Linked DNA regions of Solanum lycopersicum. The protein of the gene in region 1 interacts with the protein of each later gene in a pairwise test. Links are inferred from orthologs where the notes say so. Each region holds a gene or a part of one and is shown in the gene's direction. Other genes may lie near its edges. The genes, in order: sterol side chain reductase 2 and ataxin-3 homolog.

What was found.
Region 2: the proteins of sterol side chain reductase 2 (region 1) and ataxin-3 homolog interact in binary tests that used the Arabidopsis thaliana proteins (3 or more experiments, as listed by UniProt). The link is inferred for Solanum lycopersicum from reciprocal best matches to the Arabidopsis thaliana genes DWF1 and AT3G54130.

Annotation. Positions count from the first base shown.
Region 1 is NC_090801.1:55,567,311-55,576,935, reverse strand, and holds sterol side chain reductase 2, read left to right. Parts: upstream 1-4,937; 5' UTR 4,938-4,962; intron 4,963-5,996; 5' UTR 5,997-6,019; coding exon 6,020-7,276; intron 7,277-7,372; coding exon 7,373-7,816; 3' UTR 7,817-8,014; downstream 8,015-9,625. UniProt on the Arabidopsis thaliana protein: Plays a critical role in the general process of plant cell elongation. Involved in the synthesis of campesterol, an early precursor of brassinolide.
Region 2 is NC_090809.1:64,646,628-64,654,999, reverse strand, and holds the end of ataxin-3 homolog, read left to right. Parts: intron 1-3,535; coding exon 3,536-4,117; 3' UTR 4,118-4,270; downstream 4,271-8,372. UniProt on the Arabidopsis thaliana protein: Interacts with key regulators of transcription and represses transcription. Acts as a histone-binding protein that regulates transcription. Acts as a deubiquitinating enzyme.

The DNA of each region.
Region 1 (9,625 bases):
ACTATTATATTACAGATTTTATCACTTTTATGAGAAAATTACACAAAATGACAAATATATAATGTATGTTATGTAATATAATTATAATTTGATTATTTTTAGTTCGTGTTAATGGTTTTACGAAATTTTACTATTAATTTTTTAAATGTATTAATTTAAAATTTGTATAATTCAATTCTTGATTACATAAATTCTAAATATATATAATTTAACTCCTAACAATATAAATCTAAAAAATATATATATATTTTATTTTTTTAATTTTAATTATTTATAAATAATTTATAACAAGCGAAATATTGAAATGAAGCACGAATATTCTACCAAAAAGCACGTGATTCTCAGATGGAATCATAACCAAAAATAGTAGAAGAGAAGGAATAGTCCGGATTTGGCTCCTCCACACTCTGTGTGGTGCAGTCACAATATGCACGTGTCTCTGCAATTATTTTAATGGTCGAGATTTATTTGGTGAGCTAAATATTTTTATTTATCTGTAATTGATTTTAGATGCTTATTTTTTTTAAAAAAAAAAAACTCTAGTTTATATTATTTCTGTTCATTTTTAATTGTTATAATTTTCTATTTTAGTGTTAAATTTTAGAAATTTTTAATATTATTCCAGCATTTTGATATTTAATAAATTTCAACTTATAATATTATTTTTTTATAATTTTTGAATATTCATTTTTTCTTTTGAAATATTGAAATAATATAATCTAATTTAACTTTAAAAATTAGTTAAATTAACTTTCAAAAAGCAATACGATAAATTAAAATAAACGGAAAAGTATTAAATATGCGGTTGATATGTAATTCTTTTTTTGGTAATTTAAAATTATGAGATGAATCAATGTTTGAATATATAATATCATTTCAAATAAAGAGAATAAATTCTAAACTTTTCAAAAAAGCTTAATTTGAAAATTTCATATCTTATTTTAACATTTTCAAATTAAAAAACAAATCTTTTACAAGTCTATATTTTATATAAAAAAATAATAATTATATGTATACAATTTTTTTGGAGAATACCAGAAGAGTAATGAAATGTTTCACCTAATATAAATATGATGATATAGTTGCTAATAATATTATTCAATAATTGACTTCTATTAGAGAGTAATACGTTACAACTTATGTTTGATTTTTTTTTGAACAAAAAATTATTCATAAATTTAGTTTTTTTTTCGAAACAAGAAAATAATTTTACTTTTGTTATGAACTTTTGCTTATTTGATAAAATTATATATATAATCAAGGCAATCTAATTTTTTTTGCAACTTACTAAATTTTTATATACATAATTAAAAGTAAAAGTTAATCATTCAAATTACGTGTCCAAACAAAATTTTAATTCAAAGAAAACTTCTTTATAATGATTTTGATTCAAATAGCTAAACGGATCTGATAAAATCGTCGACACTTTTTTCATAATTTAAAACAATTGATATTTCCAAAGTTCAAGTAAATAGTTGAATTTTTTTTCATATAAATATTTTAAAATTGTTTAGGATCATAAGTTTAATTTTATTTTTTTAAATATCATATCAAGTCAAATAATATCACCTAAAATAAAACACAAAAATTGATAATTTTATATTTTAAAAAAATAATAATAATAGTTTTTTTAAAAAATTAGCCGAAGAAGTTAAAACAAAAAGTAGGGATTATTGATGTAGTTAGCAATTCTGTCGATTGGTGCTTCAATAGAATATAATTTTGATTTTTGAATTTCACATATTCAATTACTATCTTCGAATCAACAATATTTTTAACATAGGGTTTCATAATAATGTTAGTCTATGTGTTCGATAACACTTTATTCAATATTGATTTTACATATTTTACAATTATAAATAAAAAATATGATTAATAATAATGAAATTTAAAAAGATAAATAAACAACTATCGTTGAAAATTTGGAAAGATGAAAAACGACATCTCATTACTCTATGTATTCATAATAATTAATTAAAAACTCTAATTTTAACAAATGGTCACTCTCTCACTGTCTATAATTTATATTTTCTGACATCACTTTAATCTATATACACGTTGCAGATCATATTTAACTATTGAATTTTCAAGATTCTTTTTATTTACCCAAGTTTTCCAGTAGTATTATATTTTATTGGAAATTTCTTTGATCAAAATGATTATTTTTTTTATATTATTTTATATTTTTAAATATTTTCATTTAGAATTTTAATATTTTTTAATTAAAAATAAAAAATATTAATTTATTTTAAAATAAAATAAAATTAAAATTTTTAATAGGAGTCGTTTGATACAAACATTAATAATGCATGGATTATTAATGCATGAATTAGTAATGCAGGGATTAATAGTGCATGAATTATTTTTTGTCAAGTGTTTGGTTCACTACTTTCCACTTAATTTTGTGTTTAATAATTTTGTGTTTAATTTATAATTCTACAAAGAAATTCTTTCCTATTATGCCCTTGTGTTATTATGAGTTTTTATTTCATGTAACTAATTCTAGGTAGATAATTACCGGACCGGATAATTTTTTTAAAGAATTATTTATTTCATTTAATTAGTTAAGTTAAATATTTATTTAACTTATCTTGACAAATTATCTTGAATAAAAAAAAATCAAAAAGAAATGAAGAAAAAAATATTAGTAAAATCATTAAATTACACCAAATAAATTTGGAGAATTAGAAAAGAACATTTATAACTACTCTAATATAAATAAAAAGGAAATTAAATTACAAAAGAATTTTTTTAAAAAAGAATAAAGGGTTAATTTAGTCATTTAAAAATTTTATCCAAGATTTAACAAATCTTAAATTAGTTATCCCTACATTTTCAAGGGATAAGATAATATCACATATGATGAATAAACAATACATAAATTAAATTAAATTAAATAATCAAATAATATATTTATTAAATTAAATTTTAATTCATAAATTATTTTACCTAATATGCCTCCAGATCGTTAGCAGTTTCATCTGATTAACAAAAGGAATCTTGAGCATTAAATAATGAACACGTGTAAAAATTTTATGAAATTTTAATCAAAGTGAATTTTATGAAAAGTTTATGTTATTCATAATGGTTTGAAATATAATAATACGTCTTTTACTTTATAAATCTTAACAAGAACGGAGAAAAATTATTCAGTAAATATACGATATTATTATTTATATATATTTATTAATGGAGAAGGAGTAAGACATTCTAATAAGATTTTTCTTTTAAAATAATAACTCGAAAATGCCTCTCAACCAATTGTAAAACAAAACTCCAAAATCTAACTTGCACGGTAGATTCGATCTGGGATAAGAATCTAATTTTAAAATAATTTACAAAATAACTTTTTAATCTTATAAAGCGTGATAATAATTAGTATTGGTTCAAAGTTAATTTCTTTTTATATAAATAAATTATTTCATATAAAACAATGACAAAATAATCACATAACGTATTTTAATTTCTCTCAGCTCATCATTTGCACTCAATAGATTCTACGTTTACGATATCCTATCTGATTACTCATAATTCTTATAGTTATTTTTTCTAAAATGCAAATTATAAAAATTATTTTATGATAAATTATTTATCATATCAATATGAAATAAAATCATAATGTATAACACTAATTATATAATTTTTTAAATTTTTAATTTTTTATTTAAAATATAAAATTAATGTATTCTAATTTTAAAAATTGTCCAAATTAACTTTCGGAAAGATACTATTATATAATTTTTTGTGGCAGACAAATCATTTATTGTTTCACCAAAATAATGCACTTGGAAAGCGGGCCAAAGGGGTCACGTGGTTGTCAGCGGACGATAAGTTACTTTGTCTTTTTCCCTATTTTTTATTTTCCAATATATTAAAAATGAAGTTTTATATTTAGTTTTCTAATTTAACTTATTAAGATAAAAATATCTTTTTAATATTAAGTAGCATCTATAATTATTTTGAATATTTTAAAACTAAACCTCACTTAATGAGTAATTATTATGGTAACAGTATTTTATCATCACGATTTGATCCTAATTGATGCAAAACCATTTTTTCATGTTTATTTTAATTGTTTCTGTAATAATATGTTACTTATAAGAATAATAATACCCGTTATAATGTTAAATCATCCGTAAAATTATCTCTTTATACTACACATATAAAACTATAGTGAATAATATTTTATGAAAAATATATTATATATAAGTAAAATAAATAATACTAAGTGTTTTAAATATGAGTATCTAAAAAAATAATATTTAAATAATATTCGTCAATTATATATAGGATTGCTTCTTTAGTGTTTAGTTTAATTAACAAAAATATTGCTTCTTTGTTATATCAAAATTATTAAAACTAATTCTTTGTCATACTTTTCTTCAAAAATAAAATCTAAATAGTACCTCACTTTAATAATCATGTAAATTTCAAATGATTATTATTAGTATAATGCCATTTAACGATATATAAAGAATAATTAACGACTCTTCAAAAGTGATACTTTTGTACTCTTTCTAACAATTTTAGTTAAGTAGTGGGGGCGTTTGATTGGTAGGCTAAATGGTGGGCTAAAGATATAAATCACACTTACAAAATGATTTTGGATTTTTTTATATTCATTTCATCATTTAAATATATATAATTCATATAAGACGGAGAAATATTGAAAATATTCATAAATTTAGCAAGTTTTTAAATTATGTTATAAGATTCAAGATGTACTATTTAAATTATAATTAATAAAGTAAAAATATTATTTTTAATAATTTTTACATATAATTTAAAAGTGTATTTAATACTTAGCTTTTTACGATTTTATCGATGTCCTCTGCCTACCAACCAAATAACATGTTTTTCCGTAAATACCCCTATTGTTGTAAGTTCTCTATAAAGCACACTATCATCTTTAACTAAACCATCTCTCATTTTGGGGAGTAAACTCTGCAATCCAATTATTAGGTACTCATTTTTCATCTCTTCTCAATTTTTTCTCACTATGATTATTATTTTGTTAAATTTAAGCTAATTTTATAGCTATTTATGCATGAAAAATCATAATTAGTGTTAAGAATTCGGTAGTTAATTATGCTTTTCTTTTTGTACAATGCATGACATAGTTAGAGTAGAACAAATTATTTTGTTGCTCATGAGTCATGTTTCACGCATGCTGAAGTTTTTGGGTTTAATTTTTTTTTTTGAAGTTAGTTTTATAAACCAATGTGTTGAAAATAATTTTCTGTAAAGAACAAATTATATTGTTGCGGAATCAGTTGATAATTTTGAAGTGAAAGAGCATAATCTTATTTTTTGGTAATGCTCCAATAGAAGCATATACTAGTAATTTTGTTAGTTTTGCATATCAAAGAAAAATGTTATTAGTTGAAAAATTATGTTGTATATATAGTCAAATTATAAATATTTAAAGCTTGGATATTTTTGACATAAGTTAGGTTTGAACTTGCTCTGTTTTCGTTTACTACTGTTCTTCCCTAAATTTGAATAAATTATTGAGAAAGCGGAATGGATTATTTCTCTTGAGTTTTTTTTTTTTTCTGAATATTTCTATGTTTTTTTTTGTGAATATGGAGGTAAATTTGTCAAAAAGTTTAGATGATTTTTGGAAGACAACTTAGATTAGTGATGTTTAACGATTAATTAGTATAAGTTGAGTGACCATTCAGATATTCAACTCCATATTTAGTCTATTTTACCTTTACATCAGTTGATTTTACAATGATAATTAGTAACAAGAAAATGGCCATGGTGCATAAATTTCAACTTTTAGTTTCAAGATTGTACTGAACTTGGCGTTTTTCGCGGGATGCTGTTGTTGTTAATCTGACTGTCAATAGCATTATGTTTTTGGGAGAGGTTTCATATTGATGCTATTTGTGCCTTAAAGTTTGTTAAGTAGTGCTCAATTGGTATGTGATTGATGATAAGTAGTACATTTCTTGGCTGTGGTTCTTAACTTGGATTCGTCGTTGTAACAGTTGTTTGTCCTCAAGTTTTCAAGATGTCGGATGCTAAGGCCCCCGTGGCCACTGCTTACCCTAAGAGGAAGATCCAGTTGGTGGACTTCCTTCTTTCGTTCCGATGGATCATTGTCATCTTTTTTGTCCTTCCATTCTCGTTCTTGTATTACTTCTCGATATATCTAGGGGATGTGAAATCCGAGAGGAAATCTTACAAGCAACGCCAGATGGAACACGATGAGAATGTTAAAGAGGTTGTGAAGCGTCTTGGCCAGAGGAATGCAGAAAAGGATGGTCTTGTATGCACAGCCAGACCTCCTTGGGTGGTTGTTGGAATGAGAAATGTCGACTATAAACGTGCTCGTCATTTTGAAGTTGATCTTTCAAAGTTTAGAAATATACTTGATATTGACACGGAGCGGATGGTTGCTAAAGTTGAGCCTCTAGTCAATATGGGCCAAATGTCAAGGGTCACTATCCCAATGAATCTTTCCCTTGCAGTTCTCGCTGAGCTCGATGATCTTACCGTTGGTGGTTTGATCAATGGGTTCGGGGTTGAAGGAAGTTCTCACATATTTGGGTTGTTCTCTGACACTGTTGTAGCACTTGAGGTTGTTCTAGCTGATGGAAAGGTTGTTAGAGCTACAAAGGACAACGAATATTCTGATCTTTTCTACGCTATTCCGTGGTCTCAAGGAACATTGGGGCTTCTTGTTTCAGCTGAAATCAAGCTTATACCAGTTGATCAATACGTGAAACTTACCTACAAACCTGTAAGGGGTAATCTTAAAGAGCTTGCTCAGGCTTACGCGGATTCTTTTGCACCTAAAGATGGAGATCAGGACAATCCTTCTAAAGTTCCTGAGATGGTAGAAGGCATGATTTATGGTCCAACCGAAGGGGTTATGATGACCGGTATGTATGCTTCGAGGAATGAAGCCAAACGAAGGGGTAATGTAATCAACAATTACGGTTGGTGGTTCAAACCATGGTTTTACCAACACGCTCAAACCGCACTAAAAAGAGGGGAATTTGTTGAGTACATTCCAACTAGGGACTACTACCACAGACACACGAGATCGTTGTATTGGGAAGGTAAACTAATTCTTCCATTCGGTGATCAGTTCTGGTTTAGGTTCCTCTTAGGATGGCTCATGCCACCAAAGATTGCTCTGCTCAAAGCCACACAAAGTGAGGCTATTAGAAACTATTACCATGACCATCATGTCATTCAAGATCTCCTTGTTCCTCTTTACAAGGTCGGTGATTGTCTCGAGTGGGTTCATCGCGAGATGGAGGTAAAAATTTGTTCGTCTTTTAGTCCGGTTTTTTTGGTTTTTGGCAATTCCTTTAACTAAAGCACATTTTGGTACATACGAATTGTATTTGTTTAGGTATATCCAATTTGGCTGTGCCCACACAGAATTTACAAGCTGCCAGTGAGACCAATGATCTACCCTGAACCAGGATTCGAGAAACACAAAAGGCAGGGTGACACCGAATATGCACAAATGTATACTGATGTTGGTGTGTACTATGTTCCGGGAGCAGTCCTGAGGGGTGAGCCGTTTGATGGTTCAGAGAAATGCCGACAACTTGAGCTTTGGTTGATAGAGAACCATGGATTTCAGGCTCAATACGCGGTGACTGAGCTGACAGAGAAGAATTTCTGGAGGATGTTTGATAACGGTCTGTACGAGCAATGCAGAAGGAAGTACAAAGCTATCGGAACGTTCATGAGTGTGTACTATAAATCGAAGAAAGGAAGGAAGACAGAGAAGGAAGTGCAGGAAGCTGAGCAAGAGAAAGCTGAACAAGAGACTCCTGAAGCAAATTGATTCCGAAGAATAGTAGAATTTCTATGACTTTTTTATTTTTTTTTTATTTTTTATGATCGTCTGTTTAGTTGGTTTCTAGTATGAATTTTCGCCTTTTAAATAAGCAGCTACATTGAACAAGTATTTTACTAGTAGTAAGGTCTGCTTGCCTGTTCCAAATTCAAAAAATGTTTCAAATAATAATGGCTAGTGCAGTTCAAAACTCTCAAGTTTCATTTCTTTATATATACATACTGCTTTTTTTTTTTCAAGACATTTCTGCCTCATGAAATTTGAAAAGAATTAAGATGCAGGAAGTTGTGTTTAGTCATAATTACAAATTATGATATTTTTCGAAATTTTATAGCTAAACATGATTTTTGAAATTTAATTTCGAAAAAAGTAATATATATTGATGGCCAAATGAACCTCAACATAACATGAATAAATAATGAATTATAAGAAATAAGGTATACATTAGTTTTGTGTATAAACGATACTTTGTCGGGTATAAATTTTTTTGGACAAAGGACAAAAATCACATACTTTTAAGGTAAAATTACAATTTGTTACTTATAAGTTTATAATTATAAAAATTTCTCAAACTCATACAATAATATAAGCGCGGATATATTAATTTGATGTGCGAGATACATTAATCGTTAAGTAAGATATATTATATTTTATAGATGATACACTAATCTAATGTACATTTTATACGTGATACACTAATCTGATGCGTGAGATATATTAATTTAAAGCGCTGATTTATTAATCTGATGCGTGAAAATGAGGAATTTTAGAAATTCGTAAAACTAATACAGGATAATGGTAAAAGACAAATTATATTAGTAATACAAGAGGGATTTAATGCATTAGCATGATTAAAAAGTCAATTGACCCTCAAAATATTTTTTACATCTTTTTCGCAATGGTTGTGAAAGGTTTTAAACAAATATTTCTTTGAAATTACTTCTTTTCCTTTCTTTCTGTGCTATCCCGTGAACTGTCAGTATCGAGACAAGTTCAGAATATTGCTCTGAGCGTAGACTAGTCTGCTCAAGCAGTCACAAATTATGAAATGTCGTCTATTTTAATATGTAAAACTAAATAATGAATAAAAAATAATTTGTATATATTAATACGAATATTATTAATACATTCTATTTAATATTGTTCCTATACATCCTCTCAAATGACTACTGAATGAGACCCTTAACTAGGGATGGTTATACGGGACCAGTTTAGCTTAACCCGCAAAATTTTTTATTTACTTCATCCACATAACAACTTTTTTTCATTTTCAACCTACCCCGCCATGCCTCACCCCACCTAACAATTTTTTCATTTTCAACCCGCTTCACCGCACATAACAATCTTTTTCGTTTCAACCCGTCCCAACCTGACCGCATAGAGCGGCCCCCATAATTTTTTAAATATTTTTTTCTAGTTAAGTTTGATACTAAAAATGAATTCATTTTTTAATTAAATTGTATTAATTTAAAGGACAATGACTTAGAGATTTATTTTTAGAGGTCAATTAGAAACATGTAAAAGATTGAATTATTTTTTATTAAACCATTTTCATTTACTATAGCTTTAAAGAAATCATCTTAAGAAATAATGCTCTATCACAATAATAACATGTACAGAGTTAAAATAAAATACGAACTCACGTAAAAACACACATACCCTAACCTGCAACCCATCCCATTCCGCCCTACATTATTTTTTTTTAAAAAAACCACTCCGCGTCCCTCCCACCCCACTCAACCTTAAACTCACCCCATCCCGCGTCCGCGCCACCTCATTTCCATCCCTACCCTTGAC
Region 2 (8,372 bases), on another chromosome or scaffold:
CTTTTAAACAAATCCCTTGATGGGTCCTTCCTCTAATCCTTTTCTTTGTGCAGATTACACTGGTTTCTTCTTTGGTTAATTTTTTGGAAACTCTAAGTCGAATTAAGATATTTTAGTTGTGAAAGAATTTTGATTAAAATACCTTGATATGACTGCAGTAAATGCTCTGTGATGTTAATCTCCGGAAAATATGGTGTGCTGTTAGTCTCCTAATCAGAAGTCATCTCTTTCCTACATAAAGAATCATCATGATTACCTACAGTACGTAATAGGAACGTTGAAAACCTTTTTCTGTAGCACGATTGTACCTGGTTTTATTACATGCCATTAAGGAACCTTTGTGTGATGCTGGTCTAAATTGGCATTGTATTTTTGGGTGAAGTTTGTAGGATGAATTCATGTTGTGCATTCTAATATCTGAACACTTTGTAGCCATAACTGAACTTGTATGACTGTAGAAATTGTATTTGACATAATGTATAGGCTGCTTACCTATAAAGTTAGGAAACATCTTGTCAGTTTGGCATATTTATTATGAAGAAACTCAAAATCCAACCTTCTATATGTGAAATCTTGTATATAAAGAACACAAAATCCAAGTTTAAAATGATGATTCTATGAATGAAATGAATATCGAAATTCCAGCACGATAAAGAAACAATAAATTATTGTGTCAACTATTTCTATAACATTTAGTGGCATAGGAATTGAGTCTTTATGAAGAGGATAAGGCTCCATATGTTACTTTTGTCCGAGCTTAAGTTTTAAGGGGTCGTTTGGTTGGGAACAAGTTATCCTGGGATTAATTATCCTGGGATAACTTATCCCACCATATATATTGGATAACTTATACTATCACTGTGGTATAAATAGTGGGATAAGTTATCCCAAACATGGTAACCAAACAAGACACAAAAATTTTATCCCATCACTATTATTTACCTTTCACACCAAACGACCCCTAAGTCTATAAGACCTGTTATGCTTGCAAGATTTGTTGTGGTTTTATATTCTCTTCAGGTAACAAGGTCTAGTTTTCGTGTGGCTTTTTTGTTTTCTTCCAAGCATAATAAATTCTACCATTGTAAATTAAAGATGGGTTTTTCAATTTTAGGTTACTAGAATCGTACTAGATTAAGGTAGGGCAAGGTTTTTGTGTATACTACCCTCCAAGACTCCAGTTGTGGCATTTACATTAGGCATGTTGTAAAATCACGCTAGATCATTGACAGCAATTAATGTCAGTATAATGAAATTCTCCTGAATGTAACATCGAAGAAGTTAATATGGTTTCATAATTTTAGGGCTGTTTTGACGTGGGAGCAACTTTAAAAATGAACTGGTCTTTCATTCATTCATTTAATCTAGTGATTAATCACCACAGTACACAAAAATATGGCACACTCTAAATGTGACCCAAAAAGAACTTTATTTTTTTCAAAAAAAAAAAGGAAGTGAGAAAAGGCCCTGGATGTTGCTTAGTGGTAGAAGAGGTGGAGTACAACCTAGCGAAGTTCAAATCTAAATAGAGGTGAAACTAGGTGAATTCTAGTCATCTCCCATAGTTTGTGGGGATGGACTTATTCCATACTCGGGATGCAAAGTTGGCTTGACACTAGTATTGTCAGAAAAAAAAAAAGAGAGAAAATAAAGTGATACTTTGAGAAAAAATGAGGAGAGAACATAATATAGACGAAAATCACTATATTTCTGTGACATTTTGTTCACAGAACTGTTGGTAAACTTTTTCTCTGGTTCCTGTTGTTTTGGAAATGACTTTGGTTTCTTCTTTTAGTTATAACTTTGGGTAAGTTGTGGAAGAGTTTTGATTAAAAGTAGCTTCATGTTTTTGTTCGTAAGAGCTAGTTGGTACTTGATGTCTTTACTCTTAAAAGCTAGTTGGTACCTGCTGAAATAGGTCAATTGAGATGCACGCGAACTGGCCTAGGCATTACTGTAATAAAAAAGTAAAAAATAGGAAAAATAGGAAATAGCTTTGTGACTACAGGTAAGTGCTTTCTGATATTAGTATCATTATAGAATATCACATCCTTTCCTCCTAATATAAAGAGTAATCATGTGAATGAAGGCACATCCTATATAAACCCATATCAAATATTTTAAATATTTGATAGAGTTAAAATTCATTAATTCAATCAGTCAAATACTCAAGTATAGCAAGCCCCTCTTTTTTGTGATATTATAAGTGCCCAGCAAGCCAGTGGTGTATGCAGGATTTTTTGTAAGTGGTGTCGATATTTAAAAATAAATAAATAATAAATAATTGATAAAATTAATAAAAATGATTTAAAATGTACTAAAAACATAAATTAAGTAAACTACTACAACTCTCCTCGACGAGTTTTGATATTTTCAAATGTATTCATAATAGCCTCATTGGGGATAGTACTAAATATTCTTCCTCTATATCGTCGAGAAAGCTCTTTCAACTGTAGCAGTAGTCACCGACACATAAAGCAAATTTAACTAGTTGAAACACAAGAGGATAAGTTTTGTGCTTCTTCGTCTCTACGAGTATCTTGGAAACATTACGAAGTTCCTTAAGACTGAAGAACCTTTTATCATGATCTCTAACATCAACAATATAATTTTCAAGCTGAAAGCGAAGGTCGACTATAGAGTATTTAGCATAATCATCAGGGTATAACTCAGCCAATCTCAATATCTTTTTTCCATATAAAAGTTAGAAAATGAATCAATTCAGTTTGGCTTAGGTTTTACTTTATAACTTATTATTGTATCCAATTCTGATTTGAATAAGTAATAAAAATTTTATAATAGGTTATATATGTAGTATTCTAGTTCAACTGGTTTGTTTTAGCCTAATTTGAGTAGAAATAGGAGGTTGGAGGTTTAAATCCTTCTTAAACTTTTCTCTTTTTCCTTGAAAAAGGAGGCTCAAAAATTAAAGCAAAAAATGCACCTACTGAGATTCAAACTCAGGTGTGTTGTGCTTCATTTGCGACGTAAACCACATGAGCCATGACACTTGTTTGTTCAAGGAGTGTAATTTTTAATATTTATACTTCTGTTTTAGTTTTTCTGATCTACATACAGATATAAATACTAAAAAATTTTAACGAAGCCGTGTCAGCTGACCCCCCTTGATTTAAGGTGGATCTGCCTCTGCAGCAAGCCTATTTTACGTCTGGTAGTAATGATTTTTAGGTCAAAATCAAATGTACTAGCTAGTGAATCCGAGAGAAAAGTTGAATACCAGAAGATAAAATCATGGTGGAATGGTGGAGATGCAGAACTCTAGTTTGTCCCGTAGTATGTAGCTTTAGCCTGAGTTAGTGCTCATTTTATCTGGCACAAGGTTTTGTTTAATGTGTTTGAGTGTGAGAGACAAATAGCATGTGAAATAACTAGTTTACACTAAGTGGAGAGAGATATTATGACCATTCGATTTGCATAATCCTGTCACTATGATGCTATTTTTCCAATGATTTCCTTTAAATCACCTTTTCGCTTTGGCTCTAGAAGCTAATTCTGGCTTGAATTTTCGTTACAGGTTTTGCAAAAGGTACTGGAGGTATGGGATCTTCAAATCATTCCACTGGATAGCCCAGTTGCTGAGCTGGCTCAGATTGACCCAGAACTGAGAAATGCATTTATCTGTCACTTGCAGAACCATTGGTTCTGTATCAGGAAAGTAAATGGGGAGTGGTACAACTTTGAAAGTCTCAAGCCGGCTCCTGATCACCTCTCCAAATTTTACCTTTCAGCGTATCTTGACTCCTTAAAAGGCTTTGGCTGGAGCATTTTCCTGGTGAGCGGAAAATTTCCCAAGGAATGTCCGATCTCTTCCTCTGAAGCTTCTAGTGGATATGGACAGTGGCTGTTACCAGAAGATGCGGAGAGGATTACCAAGTCCTGCAATGCTGCACAGAGAACAGGTAGCAGAAGTGGTCAAACTCAGTGGCAATCTGTTCCCTACCGCCAATACGAGGAACAAGGTATGCTTTTAGATGAAGAAGATGAGGATTTGAAAGTTGCAATTGCTGCCAGCTTGCTGGATGCTGCCCCCGCAGTCAGCACCAAACCTGATACCTTGGAAAATGAAAATAAGGACAATAGTGCAGCTAATGCATGACAAGGGAACATTTTCAGTGTTTTAAGCCGGGAAAACTTATGAACTGTTTTTTTTCCTCATAATTGCATCCGATACTGGATACTAGTTCATAATTCTGCTGCATAAACAGTGATGTTGTTTCTTATTTCAAAAAATAAATTAAAAACGATACACATGGACGTTGTTTGTTGGCTAAGAGCAAGATTTTTATATAATTTGAAAAGAAAAATGAAAAAAACTTGATCTTCATAGAATTTGTACTTTGTAGTCATTTCATTGAGACAGTTCTTATTTCACTTTTTTGTTCTTGTTTTCTTATTTGCTGCTTGTACATTTTTTGGATGTAAATATTGTTTTATGCCATGTGATCGTCTCTTATTTAAATAATAACTAGGGGTTTAATGCCTGGGCGAATTTGTATTGACGTTGTACGGACGAATTTTTTATTGGCGTGAAAATAAAAAAGACGTGGTCATGTTTAAAATATATTACATTACTTTTGTACAAGGTTATACAGTAAGCTTGCTAATCAAAAGAGGGAAAATGGATGTTAGTGGTGTTGGGTATGTAACAAGAATTGATGGGAAATAGAGGGAAGGAGAGGAATTTGAAAAGCTTAGAACTTGAAAGGTTGGGAACTTGAGAAGTTCTCTAATGCTTTATTTAAAAAGGCAATAGTCGCTCATCGGTAATGGAAATGAAAATAGGAGAGTTTAAATAATAAACACTCCTATTAATTGTTAAAAGGGTTGGAAAGAGGGACCCCCTCGCGCCGTCGTCGTCGTCGCTCGCTTCGGCTTCGGCTTCGACTTTGGCAAATGATCGATCAAGAGATAATTTTTTGGACAAATTTATTTTAATTATTTATTTAATTAATTTAATGGCCAAAAATTATTTTCAATTAATTAGTTGATAACAGAAGTTAACCGAAATGTTTTCAACTTTTTAGTTAACTCGACCCGACTCGAATCCGCGCGCGTGACCCGTTTTAAATTCCGTTATATTTATAAAATTCCCGCCATGACTGTTTTGAAAGGTTGCAACTTTCAGGAGCAGTCAATACCATTTAAAAGTTTGCAACCTTTCATTAATGGTCGTGTCAATTCTGAAAGGGTTGCAACCTTTCAGAATATATTCTTCTTGCCTATAAATACCATTCAGTTTTCAGAAATTTCCCAACGAATTTTTCTGATCTTCCTTGTTCTTAAAAAACACATATTTCTTCGTGTACTTTCCTGCTGTGGATTGATTCGCTGTCAATAGAGTTTTTGGTATCTATACTCTTCTGATTAAGATCATTTTACCCTGGGAGGTTATATTCCAAATTAAACCTCGGATACTAGAGAGGAATAATTTCCTTAAGGGGACACTGTGAATTCAGTGGACTTGATTTTCTTCCTAAATTGTCAAAAAAAGAGTATCCCAGATTCTGGTAAGTTTTACAGATTTCATTTATTTTTTACAAATAAATTTCTGTTCATCTTATTTACTGGTTCTAAAAATCTCAGTTACTTCGTGTTTCTGACTGATTTATTACAACCTGTAATTTTTTATTTTCATAACACAGATTGGCAACAAGTGGTTCAACTGCGTGTTTGGCTGTCAAAGATGGATTCTGAATGGAGTTCTGGCAAAAAGAATTGACTAGTCTTTGTGGTAAAGCAGAAACTGTACAAAGTGGTGGGGCAATTAATTGACTTCATGAGATCTACAAAAGTGAGCAAGCTTTGTATTTCCTGTGAGGCAGTAACATTACATCAAATATGTGGATTTGAGATTATAGCATAAACAAATGAAATTGCCTTACCTTTCCTGTACCGAGGTTAAAAGTAGCCGCCGAAAAGCTTGGATTAACTATAGAAGTTGTTTTCAAAGAAAATGTCTGGTTAGTATGTTGGAGAAACAGTGGTTGAACAATGAATTAAGAGTGATAATCACCTTTAGTTTGGTTTTTCTGAAGTTGGTGGCTGCAGCTTGTGTTTTATTCTTTGTGATGATGATTTTGCTTGTTCACTCACTTGTTCTGGTCCAGTCTGTTGTTTTCTTTTGCTTGATTCCTGGATATTGGTTTTGTTTGGTGCTGTAGGGATAGTTGGGAATTCGGCTATAGATTTGGGGGGAAGGGGGGCTTTTGGCCATTTTCTCTTAAATAAATGACTTCTTTATAGTTAACTTTGTATTTATCACTCATCAACCATTAAAAGGATAAAGGATATTTTATTTTAGGTTGTTCCTAAAGTTGACATCGATTTTCACTTAAACATCTTAAGTAGACTTTGTTCATTTTGAACACCTCAATTGAGGGTCTATTGTATCATTTTGACACGCTTTTGATAATTAGCTAAAGGCCTAACCCATCGGTGGTCTCTTAAATTTGGCACAAAGTTTCACTTAATCACATGTCATATATCAAAATAATTCTAAACTAATGATTTTTAAGTAAAAAGAAAAATAACCACTCACTTGATGACACGTGGCATTTACAACTCAAATAATAAATATTTTTTAAAAGGAAATTCAACAAATCTAATTCTCAAGAAACTCACCCTTGTCTTCTTCACCCCCTCCTTTTTACTTCTAAAAAAACAATGGAAGAATTTTTTTTTTTACTTTCTCGTATGTGCAGAGGATTCAAATACGTGAACACGAAATAGAGTAATTATTTTATGGCGCTGAAATTTAATTGTTGGATATAAAGAAACAAAATGAGCAGAAGATAATAGTTGTGGCAATTTTTAGATCTGAAAAATTAAAAATTATTTTGATTTTAATATGATCCATGGCGATGTTGCATTAGCGTGGTTTGATGGTGTCTGGTAGATGAGATAATCACAAAGATTGAGGGGAGAAGATGAACAATGTTTTAAAAATAATTTTTTTGGCCTGAAAGAAAGCTCCTCACGCGCTGACTTTGAGTGTATTACACTTAGGAGCGGACATTCGGTATTTCGGTTCGGTTCGGTTTTTTTTTCGGTTTTTTCGGTTTTCGATTTTTGTTAATTGCGTACCGAATACCGAACCGAAATATTTCGGTTCGGTTTTTGTTAATTCGGTTTGGTTTTTATTAATTCGGTTCGGTTTTTTAATGGGCCTGTTTAGTGGGCTTTTTAAAATTTTAAACTTAACAATTTTTTCAATTTTTTGTTTGATTTTTCAACTTAATGGGCTTTGATATTTCAACTTAATGGGCTTTGATATTTCAACTTAGGGTTTCTTATTTTTTTAAAAAAAATTATTTAATATTAATAATTATTAAATATAATATAATTTATAAATTATAATATAATATTTCGGTTTAAACCGAAATACCGAATTCCAAAGTAACACGTACCGAAAACCGAATCAAAATATCGAAAATACAAAAAATTAAACCGAATACTGAACCGAAAACCGAAATACCGAAACCAAAATTCTGAAAAATTTCGGTTCGGTTCGGTGTTTCGATTTTCCGGTTTTTATGCCCACCCCTAATTACACTCACTGTCATGTGAGCGCAAAGTGTCAAAATGACACAGCGAGATCTTATATGAGGGTTTTAAAATGAACATCGCTCAATTAAGATGTCTAAGTGAAATTTTGTGTCAAATTTAAAGAGTCATCGATGAATTAGACAAAATTAATATATTTTTAGAACTATGACCAAACACATCAAACTTTTCAAAAATATTTAACATTTATATAAAAGCCTAATCCAAAGTTAGACGGAAATAATTCTAAGAAGTCCAAGGTTGAATATGGCCGGAAAAGATTGAAGGAGGACTTGTCCTGCAATTTAACTATGCAGCTAGGGTTTGTAAAATATTTACCAAAATTTCCCTTAAACGCCGTCGTCGCTTCTACTGCTTCTCATCAAAGTCTATATAAATATTGCGTTTTACCCAGCCAATCTTCTCGTCATCGGCGCTAGGGTTTCTCAGCGTCTTCTTCAAATGATAAACTCTCTGCTCAATCGGTTCCTTATTTCTTTCTTCTATGTGTTTTTTCTTCTATTTTGCAATGGATCTGTGAGGAAACATAAAATACTGAAATATTCAACATGAGGATATATAAATTCTTTTGGTATTTCACTTTTCTGAGATCCAATCTATCACTGTTCATACTTATTCTTCATTTCCGTTGCGTTTTTTAGTTATGGGATCGAGGATGTGATAAACAATTTATCCGAGTTCTGATTCCACATTGGAAATGTAGATTACTTCTCTAAAGCTGAGATCCCCTTTTAAAACTCTAATTCTAGTTGTTGCATTAACAAAATCCGGTACTTTGGATTTTCCAT